3 linked regions of the Arabidopsis thaliana genome follow. The protein of the gene in region 2 interacts with the protein of the main gene of each other region in a pairwise test. Each region holds a gene or a part of one and is shown on either strand. Other genes may lie near its edges.

The links.
Region 1: the proteins of AT2G16365 (region 2) and PHYE interact in a two-hybrid assay, tested with the Arabidopsis thaliana proteins (one study listed by BioGRID).
Region 3: the proteins of AT2G16365 (region 2) and PHYD interact in a two-hybrid assay, tested with the Arabidopsis thaliana proteins (one study listed by BioGRID).

What each region holds. Positions count from the first base shown.
Region 1 is NC_003075.7:10,044,088-10,049,203, reverse strand, and holds the start of PHYE (phytochrome E), read left to right. Parts: upstream 1-2,857; 5' UTR 2,858-3,255; coding exon 3,256-5,116. Other genes in the region: SSP4b (SCP1-like small phosphatase 4b), read left to right, coding at 152-344, 430-570, 654-1,148, 1,228-1,565, 1,735-1,879, 2,458-2,486. UniProt on the Arabidopsis thaliana protein: Regulatory photoreceptor which exists in two forms that are reversibly interconvertible by light: the Pr form that absorbs maximally in the red region of the spectrum and the Pfr form that absorbs maximally in the far-red region.
Region 2 is NC_003071.7:7,071,328-7,076,443, forward strand, and holds the start of AT2G16365 (F-box family protein), read left to right. Parts: upstream 1-3,034; 5' UTR 3,035-3,119; exon of another isoform or gene 3,120-3,275; intron 3,276-3,324; exon of another isoform or gene 3,325-3,567; 5' UTR 3,568-3,612; coding exon 3,613-4,329; intron 4,330-4,411; coding exon 4,412-5,058; coding exon of another isoform or gene 5,059-5,062; exon of another isoform or gene 5,063-5,116. Other genes in the region: AT2G16340 (uncharacterized protein), read left to right, coding at 1,807-1,851, 1,918-2,157. UniProt on the Arabidopsis thaliana protein: Together with PCHL, regulates growth and development adaptation to the ambient environment by controlling negatively phytochrome B (phyB) dark reversion, a temperature-dependent thermal relaxation process during which phyB reverts from the active to the inactive state.
Region 3 is NC_003075.7:9,197,053-9,202,168, forward strand, and holds the start of PHYD (phytochrome D), read right to left. Parts: upstream 2,789-5,116; 5' UTR 2,435-2,788; coding exon 259-2,434; intron 175-258; coding exon 1-174. Other genes in the region: AT4G16260 (Glycosyl hydrolase superfamily protein), read right to left, coding at 3,128-3,620, 3,739-4,222, 4,332-4,389. UniProt on the Arabidopsis thaliana protein: Regulatory photoreceptor which exists in two forms that are reversibly interconvertible by light: the Pr form that absorbs maximally in the red region of the spectrum and the Pfr form that absorbs maximally in the far-red region.

The sequences.
Region 1 (5,116 bases), on a different chromosome or scaffold from region 2:
AAATGATCAAAAATTCCTGTTACAGATCCGTATGTTTATCTTACTATATTCTGTAATTTCATCAACAAGCTGACTTTGTTTTGCAGTATCTGCTGCTGGTTTGATCTTGAGACCATTTCTTTTGCAGCTTGTTGTTGTATTTCTAGAGACTATGCCAATGCCATTTTTGAAAATGAAGAGCAAGATAAGCAAGGACTCGTTAAGAGAGAAAAGAGTTCTTGGTGTTTGTAAGAAACCTCATAAGGATGTTAAAAATTCATGCTTTGATCCCAAAATATCGGAGAGAATGGAACTTTTGGTCACTGCTACTCAGAATTGCAACAACAACGAGGAACAGAATATAGGTAAGGCTTGTTTCTTGAATTCTACAAATAGGTCGGTCATCTTTTTGTTTTAAATTTGTTCTGATGATGCTTTTGATTACTATAGGTTTGGATTCTTCTACTAGGGATGTTGTAACAAATGAACCCCAAGACCTGCTAGTTGAAGACAGTTCCAAAAATGCGTCGAATATGGATACAATATTTTCACCTGTTCTTGATGATGAACTGTATTCTGAAACTGACCGAGGTATATTCTCTTACTCTTTCATTTTTTTATTTAAGCTGTCTTTTTGATTGAGAATCGAGTAATCTAAGAATGGTTTTCCTTAGTATTTGTGGAAGGGAACAATGTGCAATGGGAAATGCCTAGGTGGGGAGCTGATGACTGCAGCAACAATCAGTTTTGCAACGATTCTGATTACTTTCTATCTGATGTGCTGATTGCAAGCTTGCCATTCTATGAGAGTGGAAATGTTGATTTTTTCACTGAGATAAGTCCCTTGCCTCATTGTATCTTTCCAGAGCCAAGTGTGTTACTAGATGCAGCTGAGCAGTACATGTTATTACCTTACTTAGAAGATAGATCAGCCAGCAGTGATGATGTTAAGTCTGATGAGGATAACAGGATTAATCGGTCAAGATCAAAAAACTTGGAAGCAGCAGAGAATCACACTGAAGCTGAACAAACTGAAGATTTTGATCCACAGATTTTCTTAAGAAATCAACCAGAATTAGCTGATGTGGTATTCAATTATTTCCCGGATATGCAGCAGCCTAGGGACTCTCCGAAAAGGAAGGCGGTAACCCTTGTTCTTGATTTGGATGGTATGATATGAACCACTTGGTTAAGTTTTGCCTCCATGGTACAACCACACTTACTAATCATCTTTAAATGACATTGCAGAAACTCTGGTCCATTCGACTCTGGAAGTCTGTAGAGATACAGACTTTTCCTTCAGAGTCACTTTCAATATGCAAGAGAACACTGTTTACGTGAAACAAAGACCATACCTTTATAGGTTCTTAGAGAGGGTGGTTGAACTTTTTCATGTTGTCATCTTCACGGCTAGTCACAGCATCTATGCGTCTCAGCTTCTAGATATATTGGATCCAGATGGGAAGTTTGTATCGCAACGTTTTTACCGGGATTCATGCATTCTTTCAGATGGTATTTATACCAAGGATTTAACCGTTTTGGGTCTTGATCTAGCAAAAGTGGCTATAGTTGACAACTGTCCACAGGTATTTTCTAAAGGATTCACTTCACTACCTTTGTTTCATTAATTTTTGCTTTTACCTTAGTCTCAGTGATAGACACCACAAGCAAATCGAATTTCAAAGAACGATAGTTACAGTGCAGAATTTGTAGTTTAGTTGAGTATTACATGGACCCTCATTGTTCTTGTTTCAGGTGTACAGATTGCAAATAAACAATGGGATCCCTATTAAAAGTTGGTATGATGATCCAACTGATGATGGTCTGATTACATTACTTCCCTTCTTAGAGACATTGGCTGATGCCAACGATGTTCGTCCTGTCATTGCCAAGAGATTCGGTAACAAGGAATAAGAAATCTCTTCCTTTTGTTTCCACTATATCTTGATTGCAGATTCTGGGTTTCTTTAACAGATTTAGTCATAGACTAGTTTAGTTCCTCAAGACTTCTTAGGTGCTATTTAATTAGTGAACCATAGAATAATGCTCGGTGATATTAGTACACAAGTAAAGCGTAACCCTTGTTTTAGCCAGGATAATAGATCATTGAAATCTTAAGTGTTCTAAATGTACAGTTGGTGAAGCTGAGATACTGAATGTATAAAAGTGAGTAACTATTGAGTGAAATATCAGTTTTGGAGGTTAACAACAGCCATTATCTCCTTGTGGTAAATTCAAACTGTTGGTTAGATCTTTGTACTACTGCATTGTCAGTAATATAAATGAAGAGAGGTTCAATCTGGAACCTTCTTTTTCGTGAATTTATCGAATTTTCTAGCTTCTGTGGTCTTTCATAAAGGAGGAATATCGTATATGGGCGCCCGGATCTGGTGGTTCTGTGGTATTATAATAAGCTATTTAATCTATAACTCTCAGTAAAAGTTTCATGATTCTGTTGGCATGGTCCTTATTGTGCAGATCATTCAACAAGAAGTTCTTTTGATTAGGCGTAAGGAAGTGACCTGACTATTGTTCTTCTCTGTGTTAACTTGACTCTTAAGGTTTTGTCTAAGGTCTTAAGCTCCCTGACAAACTTGCCAATATGTACATCTTTACAATGTTAACTTGTTTTCATTAACATTTGATAGTCATATATTCTTGTTACTAGTTAATAAACCTGTCAGAAGAATCATATTTTCTAACATTGGTTCTTATGAACCAAGAAAGTCATTGATTTCTTACATAACATCAGTCGTTTAGATGCTTTGGAGATTGCTTTTGGTAACTCTCGACTAAACATAGTTTCAAATTTGGCTCAAAAGAAACTTTGTTTTTTTTTCAGAAGTATGAGGACATTATCAAAGTTGAAAGTTTTGACCAAAATATGTTGAAATTTTGAAGGTCTATTAAATTTGAGAAAGACATTAGCCATTTCTTCAATAGATTCAGAGTAACAAAAAAATACTTATTCCATGGAACTTTTTTATTCACAAAAATAAAGCAATTTAAGAAAAGGGAAAAAAAATGAAAGTGAATCGGTGGTGGTCACCGAACAAGCTGTACGTGTGGGAGAGAATGCAAACAGAGTAGCAAAAAAAAAGCATTGAAGGAAGCAAAACAAAACATGAAAAGAAGAATCTTGAGGTAAAAACGAATCCCAAATATCAAAAAGGAAACTTTTTTTACTTCTTTCTTTCTCTTGCTGCAAATGATACAGAATCAGCTTCTTCTTCTTCTTCTTCTGGTCGAAACTCACTCCACACTTTCCCCTAAGCTATGGGATTCGAGAGTTCAAGCTCAGCTGCAAGCAACATGAAACCTCAACCTCAAAAATCCAACACTGCTCAATACTCTGTTGATGCTGCTCTCTTTGCTGATTTCGCTCAATCCATTTACACCGGCAAGTCTTTTAACTACTCCAAATCTGTTATTTCACCTCCCAATCACGTTCCTGATGAACACATCACAGCTTACTTGTCTAACATCCAAAGAGGCGGTCTAGTTCAGCCCTTTGGTTGTTTGATTGCTGTCGAAGAACCTAGTTTTAGGATACTTGGTCTTAGTGACAACTCTTCTGACTTTCTTGGTTTGTTGTCTCTTCCTTCCACCTCCCATTCTGGTGAGTTTGATAAAGTCAAGGGTTTGATTGGAATCGATGCAAGGACGCTTTTTACTCCTTCCTCTGGAGCTTCTTTGTCTAAAGCTGCTTCCTTTACTGAGATTTCCTTGTTGAATCCTGTTTTGGTCCATTCTAGGACGACCCAGAAGCCTTTTTATGCTATTCTTCACAGGATTGATGCAGGGATTGTCATGGATTTGGAGCCTGCTAAATCAGGTGATCCGGCTTTGACCCTTGCAGGCGCAGTTCAGTCTCAGAAGCTAGCCGTTAGGGCCATTTCTAGGCTGCAGTCACTTCCCGGAGGAGATATTGGTGCCTTGTGTGATACTGTTGTGGAAGATGTTCAGAGACTTACCGGTTATGACCGTGTTATGGTCTATCAGTTTCATGAAGATGATCATGGTGAAGTTGTTTCTGAGATTAGAAGGTCTGATTTGGAGCCTTATTTGGGTTTACATTATCCGGCAACAGATATTCCTCAGGCTGCTCGGTTCTTGTTCAAACAGAACCGTGTCCGAATGATTTGTGACTGCAATGCAACTCCGGTTAAGGTTGTTCAGAGTGAGGAACTCAAGAGACCACTTTGTTTAGTTAATTCTACTCTAAGAGCTCCTCATGGCTGCCATACGCAGTATATGGCGAATATGGGCTCTGTAGCTTCTCTTGCACTCGCAATTGTAGTAAAAGGCAAAGATTCGAGCAAGCTTTGGGGATTAGTTGTTGGTCATCATTGTTCTCCTAGATACGTTCCATTCCCGTTGCGGTATGCTTGTGAGTTTCTGATGCAAGCATTTGGGCTTCAGCTTCAAATGGAACTTCAGTTAGCATCACAGTTAGCCGAGAAGAAGGCTATGCGGACGCAGACCTTGTTGTGCGATATGCTTCTCCGTGATACTGTTTCCGCTATTGTTACACAATCTCCGGGTATTATGGACCTTGTGAAATGTGATGGAGCTGCGTTATATTACAAGGGGAAATGTTGGTTGGTTGGTGTTACTCCTAATGAGTCACAAGTTAAAGACTTGGTGAATTGGCTGGTGGAGAATCACGGTGATGATTCGACGGGTTTAACCACTGATAGTTTGGTGGATGCGGGATACCCTGGTGCCATCTCACTTGGAGATGCCGTTTGTGGTGTGGCTGCCGCAGGATTTTCTTCAAAAGATTACTTACTTTGGTTCAGGTCCAATACTGCAAGTGCAATCAAATGGGGAGGAGCTAAACATCATCCAAAGGATAAAGATGATGCCGGAAGAATGCATCCGAGGTCATCGTTTACAGCCTTTCTTGAAGTTGCGAAGAGCAGGAGCTTGCCGTGGGAAATCTCAGAAATTGATGCTATCCATTCCCTGAGACTTATAATGAGAGAGTCATTTACCAGCTCTAGGCCAGTTTTGTCTGGTAATGGCGTAGCAAGAGATGCTAATGAGCTTACTTCTTTTGTGTGTGAAATGGTTAGGGTGATTGAAACCGCAACTGCACCTATTTTTGGGGTTGATTCATCCGGATGTATTAATG
Region 2 (5,116 bases):
AAATTTTCCAAAGGTTCATAACCATTTAGTTAGGATTACAGAAAGCTAAATAATTTATGAATTAAAATTTCTAACCTTTAAGTAAAAAAAAAATTTTGTTAACTAGAAAACGTATTAGAAAATTACTGGATAAACCAGTTTTAAGTACATGAATCTGGATACGAAAAATTAATTCAATGTGTTCTAGATTTCGAGGCAACTATCGACCGATCGAATTGTTTAGACTTTTGATCATGAATAATAAAGAAATATAGAACATAGGTAAACAATTTACTTTCTCCATATATAGTTGGAGACTTGGAGGTAAGTTTTAGATTTAGCAAATCAAGACAACTGTTTGTTAATGAGTAATGACGTACGTATATGAAAGATTTATTGACGCTTGCAATCAAATTCTCAAGGGTTGAATCTTATAGCATACTCACCCATACATTTTAACGATATCTATTAACCATGACGGTGGAAAGTAGTAATTAGTTACTTGCTCTTTTTTTTATTTACAACTTATGTATAGCAAATCCACTTTTATTCTTGCGCCACTTTTATTCTTGTACAAAATATGTATAGCAAATCAACATATCACATATGTATAAATAATACCAGGTTAATATAATATAGTATTATTTATACATAATGTAATACTCTAATAATCGATAAGTTTAATATCATGATTTGTTTTCCTTATTACTAAAGTATGATTGCTTATCTTGCCTAGTTGATAACTAATGTGATATAACATCAATATAATTATTCGTATATTTTTAAACATTAAATTAAGTTTAGAAATGTATTTCCTGATAAATTATTGTTTACCGAAATACTCTTAATACTTTAAACTTCTCTAACTCTATCATACTCAACATAAGTAAATGGAAAATCATGCTGGATAATAGGTTTAGATCGTGCTACAAAAGTATATTTTTAAACATTAAGTGAAAAAGAAGTTTAAATGAATTGGTTTTACTTTGCCAGATTAATCTGCTAACTTGCTGTCCGCAATAAGTCAATCACTTCAGTTTGCAATCCGTGATGGGCCAACCTGCTTGGCCTGCTATTTCGTGGACATAAATATTAATGTCTAAACCCACCCCACTACAGTACTATTTGGACTAAGCCCGTTTGACACCTTTACTAATTATAACCACTAGTGAGTAGTTATATAAGATTATCTTCAATAGTAGTTTCTTAGAATAGTTATAAGAGAAATAGGTATAAAATTTAATGTTTAATTCATATAATTGGTAAGAGATGACTCTTATATAAGAGTCTAAATACATCTTAAGAGCCAGACACGTGTTGTGATATAAGTGGGAGAATGAGAAATATTTGCAAAATTCTGTAATTATGTACTACTAATCGTTTTATGTATGTTTATGTCATGTATGTTTAAACTTTGATATCATGTATGTTTCAAATTTTATGAATTGCAATAATTATTAAAATTTTTAAAAATCAAATGTTTATATATTTTTTAAAAACCTCAACTTAAGAGCTTACGATTGGACATTGCCAAACATTTAAACTTTTATCCAAACTTTTAACTTCAAAACTTTCAAATCAATTATAAAAATATTGCTAAGAATCTTTGCTAAGAATTCACCATTATAGATTCTCTAACAAATCTTGGCATAATCATTATTATTAAAAAAAACTTTTTGTAGAGTTCTTGTTTTTTCCTTTATAATTTACTTTTCTTTCTCTTTTTCTTTTTTTTTGGCAGAATTTAACAATTTTTTAATAAAAATTTAAAAATATAGCACTATATATGTATCAGTTAACTAACATAAAAGATAAATTAAATGACCAATGGAGGAGGTGACGGCTCCGACGATGGTGGCTCCAACGATGGTGGTAAGTTCGGCAACAGTGTGAATCTAGTGAGGACATGCGGTGGATCCGGCGAGTGGTTCTCGCGAGGATGGTGGCTTGGAGGACGGCGATGGTGGTGAGGACACTGGTAGCTCCGGCGAGGGCAGTGGTTCCAATGAAGATGGTGGCTTGGAGTTGGAGGACTGCGGTAGTGGTGATGAAGATGACGGCGGTAGTGGTGGTTCCGCCGATAGCGAAACTGTGGTGGTGATGGTTGTTGTGGTGGTGGTTAATGGTGATAGTAGGGAGGATAAAATTGTCATATTATATATTATACATCAACTCTAATATAAACTTTATTGTATAGGTTAGTTTCCTCATCATTTGCTATTGCAAGTTATTTCTCTCTCTAAAGATTTGATGTAATTTAATGCTTACTTAGCCATTTTGCACGACGCAAATAAACTAATACCGCAAAATTCGTGATTACGCAAATAACATTATCTAAATGGCCAAAAATAACTCATCCCATCTCTTCTTTTTTTTTTTTTTTTGGTCTAAAACTCATTCAATCTCTTCTACACTTGCATTTTCTAATTACTGAACAATAAACTGCTTCATACAACATAATTTTAAATATGTTTCGTTTGAGATAAATTGTTCGACATTACTAAAGATTTTGGCTGATCAAAAAATTTATCAACCTTTACCACGATTCAATTGCCTAGTCATAGGCACGAAGACTCTTGTTTTCGTTTACAAGCATTTGAATGCTAAAAGTACATAGCCGTCTTTGGAGACATGATCTAATAAAAAAAGATCTACGTTGACGTATAGAAAACACATTGATTAAAGAAAGATATCTCTTAAACTTTATGGGCAAGAAGAAGATATTTTTATAACCTGATAGACACACATGGCAAAATTAAAAATATCTAGATATATGTACAGTTAATGTTCTTGATATTATTGTGCCCATTTGCATTAGACATGGCACAAAAATGAACACGTCATTTTTCAACTAAAATAACTTTTCAACTTATTAAAAAATTCGAAGATAACTATAATTCGTCGATGCCTATACGAAATACGAGGTTCTTTTTAACACCTTCTTTGGACAATAGATATTGAGATTTACATCTTCTGCTCTTTCCGACAAAAGCCCATCTCTTCTGTCTTATTTTCTTCTGAAGGTTCTGTTTTTTTTTTTTTTTTTTTTTTTTTTCTCATCCAAATAAGTACTTGAGAGAATTATAAGAAAATTCGTACTTCGTTTCTTTGGACAGTGTACCTCCACGTATTCGTCTCTGGTAATAATCTCCATCACAAATCTCTTTTTTTTTTCTTTTGTGTGACTCTTGTTTCTGGTGGTACAGTTTGCTCATCGATTGAATCGATTTGTATTTCTTCCACACAAGAAAAATGGATTTGTACTTGTTTCTGGATTTTATATATCTGGTGTAATTGTAAGTATAAATTTGTGGAATTAGCTTCTTTTTTTTTTTTTTTTTTTTGGAGAATTTACTGAAAAAGAATGTGATCCTAGTTTATCAAAAAAAGAATAAGAATGTGATCCTCCTCACATTTGTTTGATGAAACTTTTTGTGTTCTTTAGGTTTAATTCTGAGGTTGTGTGAAATTTGGTGAAGAGAATTTTGAGATCATAGTAATTATCCACTTGCTTGATGCTCATGAGCTCTAGTTTAGTATTGTGTTTGTTTTGAATTATGATTGAGATAAAGGATATTTACTTCTCAGGTGATTTAATCAAAGCCTCTGGAGAAGATCTGTAGGTACGTACAAATGTCTGAACATGTTATGGTTTTGGGTAAAGGTAACAAAGGAATCAGCAAGAATTCTTCAGTCAATCCATATGAATCAGCTTGGTTAGGTCGTTGGACTCAGTCAGGTAGTGAAGTGAAGTTTCATGATGGTGAGACCAATTGCTCTAAGCAGTTGATAAGACCTGAAGATGAGAATCATGGAGTCGAGGTCTTGCCGTTTCCTATGTTCAAGGTTTCTCAAAAGAGAGAGACTACTACTACTACTACTACTAAACCGTCTTTCCATGAAGATGTTGGTTCAAGCTCGAGAGCTATGGTTAATAGAATGCCCTGGATGTATCCGCAAGGAGAGAACTTCAGTTCTAGTAACCGTCTTGACTTCCCAATTCAAGAAAAGACTACTCAAAACTTGCTAGAGTTGATAAGACCGGTGAGGATTTACGCAACGGTTGATTCTGTTAACTTGCCTAAAGAAGATAGTCATCAGTTATTGAAGGGGTCTACAGTTTCCATGAAACTGAAAGGGAAGATTTTTGGTGGATATCTTGATCTGTTTCCTAATCAAGATCACTCCCACAATAGAGGAGGAGTAAGGCTGCAGTCTCTAGAAAGCTCAAAGGATACTCAAGAAGATGGACCGAGAAAAAATGAATCATCGGCAGAGACTAATACCTTAGAAATGGATAGACTTCAGACTATACATCTTTCCGGCTCCATTTCTTCGTCATCAACTAAGGTATTGTTCAATCGACATATCTACATATCTTTACTCAAAATGTTGAAAGTTGTGATTGTGAAAGATGTTGAAAATTCCGCAGGGAAAAGGAATAAAAGGCTACTCAGCCATTCCAAGGACCGAAATACCTGACATGAATGAAGAACCACCTCTTGTTCCGGATAGAGAGAATTCAGTAGATGGACATCAGGGAGAAACAAGCAACTCGGCTACTCAAAGTATGAATGTGGAACACTTTCTGTCCAGAGATTGCAAACGTGTGCGGTTGGAACCAGAAGTAGAAGCCAGCAGTAGATGGGTCAAGCGTCTGAAGACAAGCCCCTCAGATTCCAGTGAAACCAAGAGCATGATGAAGATGAAAGAAGCATCACTGGGAGAAAAAGAGAACAATAATCTATTCCTTGAGATCTTGAAGTCCGGAATCAACAATCTCCAACCGAGAAATCAAGAACCCGTCGTTTCACAGAGCAATGATCTGAGACAAGGAGGAGATGACATTACACTTCTGCATCCATGGATCCAGAGGTGGTGCAAGAAGAAAACTACATCAACAGATCAACCAACAGGGCAAGAAGCTAGCTTTGAGCCAGAGAGTCACAAGGAGTTCGAGAAGAAACAGTATCCGAGTATTGCAGCCATGGCATTGATGGGGAAGGCTCTGAGCGGTTTAAACCCATATGGTCTTAGAAAGACCAACTCTCTCATGGTTTGGAATGCAAGGGATTTGAGGTAGGAAAACAAAACCATCATCCTCATCTTCCCTTGTTTATCATTACAACGTAAAGTC
Region 3 (5,116 bases), on a different chromosome or scaffold from region 2:
ACTTGTCCATAACAATTTTATGACCAGTTACATCTTGTCCAACAAAGCAGACTCCAACGATGTTGTTTAAGTAGTCCTTGCTTGAACATGCGTTGACAACCACAAACATTGCTTTTCCTTGTAGCTCGGAACCAAAAGTTTTCAGCTTGACCTCCACATTCTTGCCTTCATCCCCTGCATAATTGAAAACGAAACACATTATCAGAATTTGTATTTTAGAGTGATGCACAGATTGAAAATCTAAATAATTGCATAAACCTTTGAGAGCACAAGAAAGAAGCCTATCAACTGTTTCTTTGTACTCTTTGTATATCAATTCGCGAACCAGCGACTTTCCCATAGCGTCTTCAACAGAAAGACCGGTCAGCTCTGCGATCTTGGCGTTCCACCCATTGATGCAACCGTCTATGTCCACAGCAAATATAGGAACCGTCGCAGTCTCAATGAGCCTAACCATCTCTCTTGCAACTGCACCTATCTCCTGCATCCCTTGCTGTACCATATCATCTCCATGTGGCTGAACCGCCCCAGCTGCAGCAGCTTTAGAGTCCATCGCTTCAGACTCTTTGAAAGAGTCTCTTAGAATAAGCTGGAGCGAGTGAATGGCGTCCATTTCAGCAGTTTCCCATGGCTGACATCGGCTCTTAACAACTTCGAGAAAAGTCTGGAACGAAGAACGCGGATTCATCCGCTGACCATCATCTTTGTCCTCAGGATGGTGCTTAGCCCCTCCCCATTTGATTTCTTTCTCAGTATGAGACCGAAACCAGAAAAGGAAGTCCCTTTTTGTGATACACGCGACTGCCATACCGCACACAGCATCTCCCAAAGCAGCTGCCCGAGGATAACCCGCATCGCCTAAACTATCTGTGCTTAACCCGGTAGAATCAGAATGGTTAGCAACCAACCACTCCACAATGTCATTAATCTGAGAATCAGTTGGAGTCACACCCAACGGATAATACTTCCCTTGGTAAAGAAATGCCGCACCATTACATTTTACTAAATCCATGATACTAGGCCTCTGCGTGACAATCCCCGCTGGTGAGTCACGTAGAAGCATATCACATAATAGTGTCTGCATTCTCAGAACGCGTTTTTCAGACACCTGCAAGGCTAACTGCAACTCCATGTTTAGCTGTAAGCCAAAGGCCTGCATAAGAAACTCACAAGCGTACCTCAAAGGAAAAGGTATGCAACGAGCTGATGTGTGATGGCAAACAACTAAACCCCAAAGCCTCATCGAGTTTCTTCCTCCAGTATTAACCCCATTACCATCTTCTTCGTTTCCATTTATTATAACTGCCATAGCTAACGACGCAATAGAGCCCATGTTAGTCATGTATTGAGCATGACAGCCATGAGGAGCTCGCAAAGTCGAACCCACCAAGCATATAAACTGCGTGAGCCTATCGTCTTGAACCACACGAACCGGTGACGCATAGCAATCTACTATCATCCTAACACGGTTTTGCTTGAACAAGAACCGAGATGCCTGAGGAATATCAGTAGCGGGATAATGCAGACCAATGTAAGGCTCTAAATCGTTCCGTTTACTCTCGGCTACGACTTCACCATGTTCATCTTCATGAAACTTGTACACCATAACGCGGTCGTAGCCAGTAAGATCTCTAACGCTTTCCACAACAGTGTCACATAGAAGCTTAATGTCGCCGCTAGGCAACGATTGTAAATGAGAAATCGCACGTACCGCAAGTTTCTGCGATTGGACTGCTCCGGCGATTGAAAGTGCCGGATCTTCGGTTCGAGCCGGCTCTAAATCGATCAAAATTCCAACATCAACCCTGTGGAGAATCGCGTAGAAAGGTTTACCAGTGTTGTTAGAGTGAATCCAAATAGGATTCAGAAGCGTGATCTCTCGAGCCACGAACGCGCGCTCGAGGAGAAGGTAGCTCGATGACTTGAAGAGAGATCGCAAATCCGTACCAATCGTTAAAACCTCTGATTTGTCCTCGATGCTTGGTACAGATTGAGACATGAGCCCTAGCATTTCCCGCGCATTTTCACTGTAACCGATGATTGTGAAAGTGGATTCTTCGACGGCGATCAAGCAGCCAAAAGGCTGGGTATAGCCACCGCGTTGGATCCGGGAGAGATAAGCTGTGATCTGCTGCTCTGGTACGGAGGAATCGTACGGCGCCGTTTTAAGAGACTGTGAGTAATCAAACGACTTACCTGACTCTCCGGATTGTTCGAAGACGGCGTGGAGTCTCGCGTCGACAGTGTACTGTTGAATAGCTTTGTTTGTGGACTCTGTTCCGCCACCGTGGTTTTGTGGCTGCTGATTCTGTGACCTTAGGGCTTTGTTTGCTGACGACTGAGCTTGTTCTGCAGCGCTGGTGTGACGACTTCGGCGATGGCCTGAGGAAGCTGCCTCTCCACCGCTGGTTTTGCTACCACCTCCGGAGACCATTTTTCTCAGTTAATGGTTTTGGAATTTCAAAGAATTAGTGCGAGAGACGAAGAAAATCTTCTTCAATCATTGGATTCGAAACCACACTTTCACAAATCTTCACTGTAAGAGCTCAAAAATGATACTCATAAGGATTTTTGGGAAGCTTGAATTATCACCGTCGCTAGCTTAACGGCGAAGTTTGTAAAATGATAAAACAGAAACCAATTTGAATTTTTCTTAAGGCTCTCAAAAACCAATTAAAATGAAGCAGAAGAGGTGGTGAACTCAAGGATTAAAGAAGACGATGACCTTGTTCTCTTTATGATTTGACTCCCTCGTCTATTAAAATTTCGTTAAAAGTTCCAAAAACTTGTGTAGGTATCAATTTAACCCACATTTTTAAACTTTCGTTGCCTTGTATGTTTTATGAAGGACCGAGATCACGTGGGTTGTGGATTATTCCGACTAGTGGGCATACGAGGGACGATATATGTGGGCATGTGGGCGTCTGTGTCCTCAAAGGTCTGGTCTGGTCTGGTGTATATCAAATAAAAATATTGCATGACTTTACCAAGTCTAACGTGGACCAAAACAAAGCCGAGTATTTAATTTAACTTGGACTAACAGGTTTTATTTGAAATTTGTCTTTATTTGGAACCTTTTATGGGATAATCTCCCAATTATTCACATAAATCTCAGCATATAAAATCATCACTCAACCGCCGTACCGTCTCTCGCGGCAGAGAATGTGATCGGAAATTTTGGTTGTTTATTAGGAAAAAACAAACCAAAATTCTTCTCGATCTCAGGACTCTTTTGATTCTCATCAAACATAGCGAACAAATACGTTTCCACTCCTCTTCCAGGTCTCTTCGGTGTTCCTCTGTTCTCTCTCACACGCGACGCAAGATTCGTGTAAAAAGCTCGCGCGTTATCGAAACTCGCGGCGTTTCCACCGTTAGAAGGCCATCCGCTCTCGGAAACAACCACTGGGAGAGATCCACCGCCTGAGCGTTCAACGGCAGAGTAAACAACGTCAAGTAAAGCGTCAAAGAGGTTTTGGTAGCCACGAGAGCCGTCCCATACGACGACGGAAGGAGAAGTGAAGAGAGCGTAAGAGAGAGATATGTCACGTGGATTGTCAACGTAGCTGAAGTAAGGATAGATGTTGGCTAGTAACGCTGAGTTCGTACTCGTAAGAAACCTAATTAGCCACATAGGAAGAAATTAAATAATCATTCCACAAGTAACCAGAAATGAAAAATATTGGGAAATAACTAAATCTAATGAATTTTGGTTATTTGGTTTGGTTGGAAAATTACCCGATGACGGGATCGATATACCATCTAACGTCACCACGAAACTCTCCGGAGGAAGGAGGGAAAGAGTTTCCAATCAAAGTCATATCAATGGCGGTAGAAACTTTAATACGATCTTGAAGATTTGCACCTCTTAGAGCATCGTAAACGTTACGCATGGCAGGGAGCACAACATCACCGCCGTTCGACGGAGATACTTCGTTACCTACGGCGATGTACTTGAAGCTAACGGCGGGGTAATAGTTGAGGACGTTGTTTTGGAGCCATGATCTAGCGGAAGAAGGGTTAGTGAGTGAACGAAGATCGGTGTTTGGAACGCCGATGATGACTTCGATACCCGTGTTTCTAAGAGCGTTTAAAGCGGCTTGGTTTGGATCGTAGAGTCTAACACGTCGGATGTTGTTTTGTCTAAAGAGAGCGATTGTGTCTGATTGAGAAGGAAGGTTGTTCCCCATCATTCCATAGCATACACCTACTGATTCTCCACCTAGTTTATCATATAACATAATTAAGGTTAATTATGATTAAGTTTATATATCTATAAAAATTGAAAATGAGAATAAATCATGTGAGATTAAAGAGAGAGAGAGAGAGACTTGTTGGGTTGAGGATGGTTGTGATGAATAGAGCAATAAGGAGGAATAACGTGGTCATATTTGAGATCTTACGTGTTTTAGCAATTGCTAGTTGCCTAATTGGGTTTGTTCTTAGCTCCTTATATACAAATTAACATTGATATGTATGTACTTACAATTTTTTTAGTAGATATATATAGATGCGTATAGATTGTATATAATGTAGAATGGAGTGGCTAATATCTTTGTTTATTAATCAAAGTCAATAAGTCATTAGTCGGGTCAAGTAATCAAGTACATAACGTTAGCTTGAGTGCAAATATGCGTTCAATTTATCAAATCTTATATGCAAAAGAGAATATCTTTTCAAAAAATGGGTAGAGAAATGTCACTTTCCAACTTGAGAAATTAGGACATTGCTTATTTTTGCCAGCATTGACAAATCAACCTTGCTATTTTTTTTGTTTTTTTTTTATCATACGAAATTTGATTTATTTGACTGCGTCTATGTAAATATTTGTTAATGTTTTAGAATGACGAGAAACATGTCTAATTTGGCATATTTGTGTTTTACGTGTAACAAAACTTGTGCAATTTAGATAAGCTCCTAAACAGTGTCATTGAATCAAGTATAATTCCACTCATGAATTGGTTACTGATTTTTTGACTTTATGAACTATGATGGACCAAGTTGGCTATTAGCTAACGTAGTTTTATCATATTTGCTTACAAAAGAAAAAACTTTATTTGAAGATATTGTCATCACTTAACAAGAGCAGCCGTATAATTCGATACGATGACGAAGT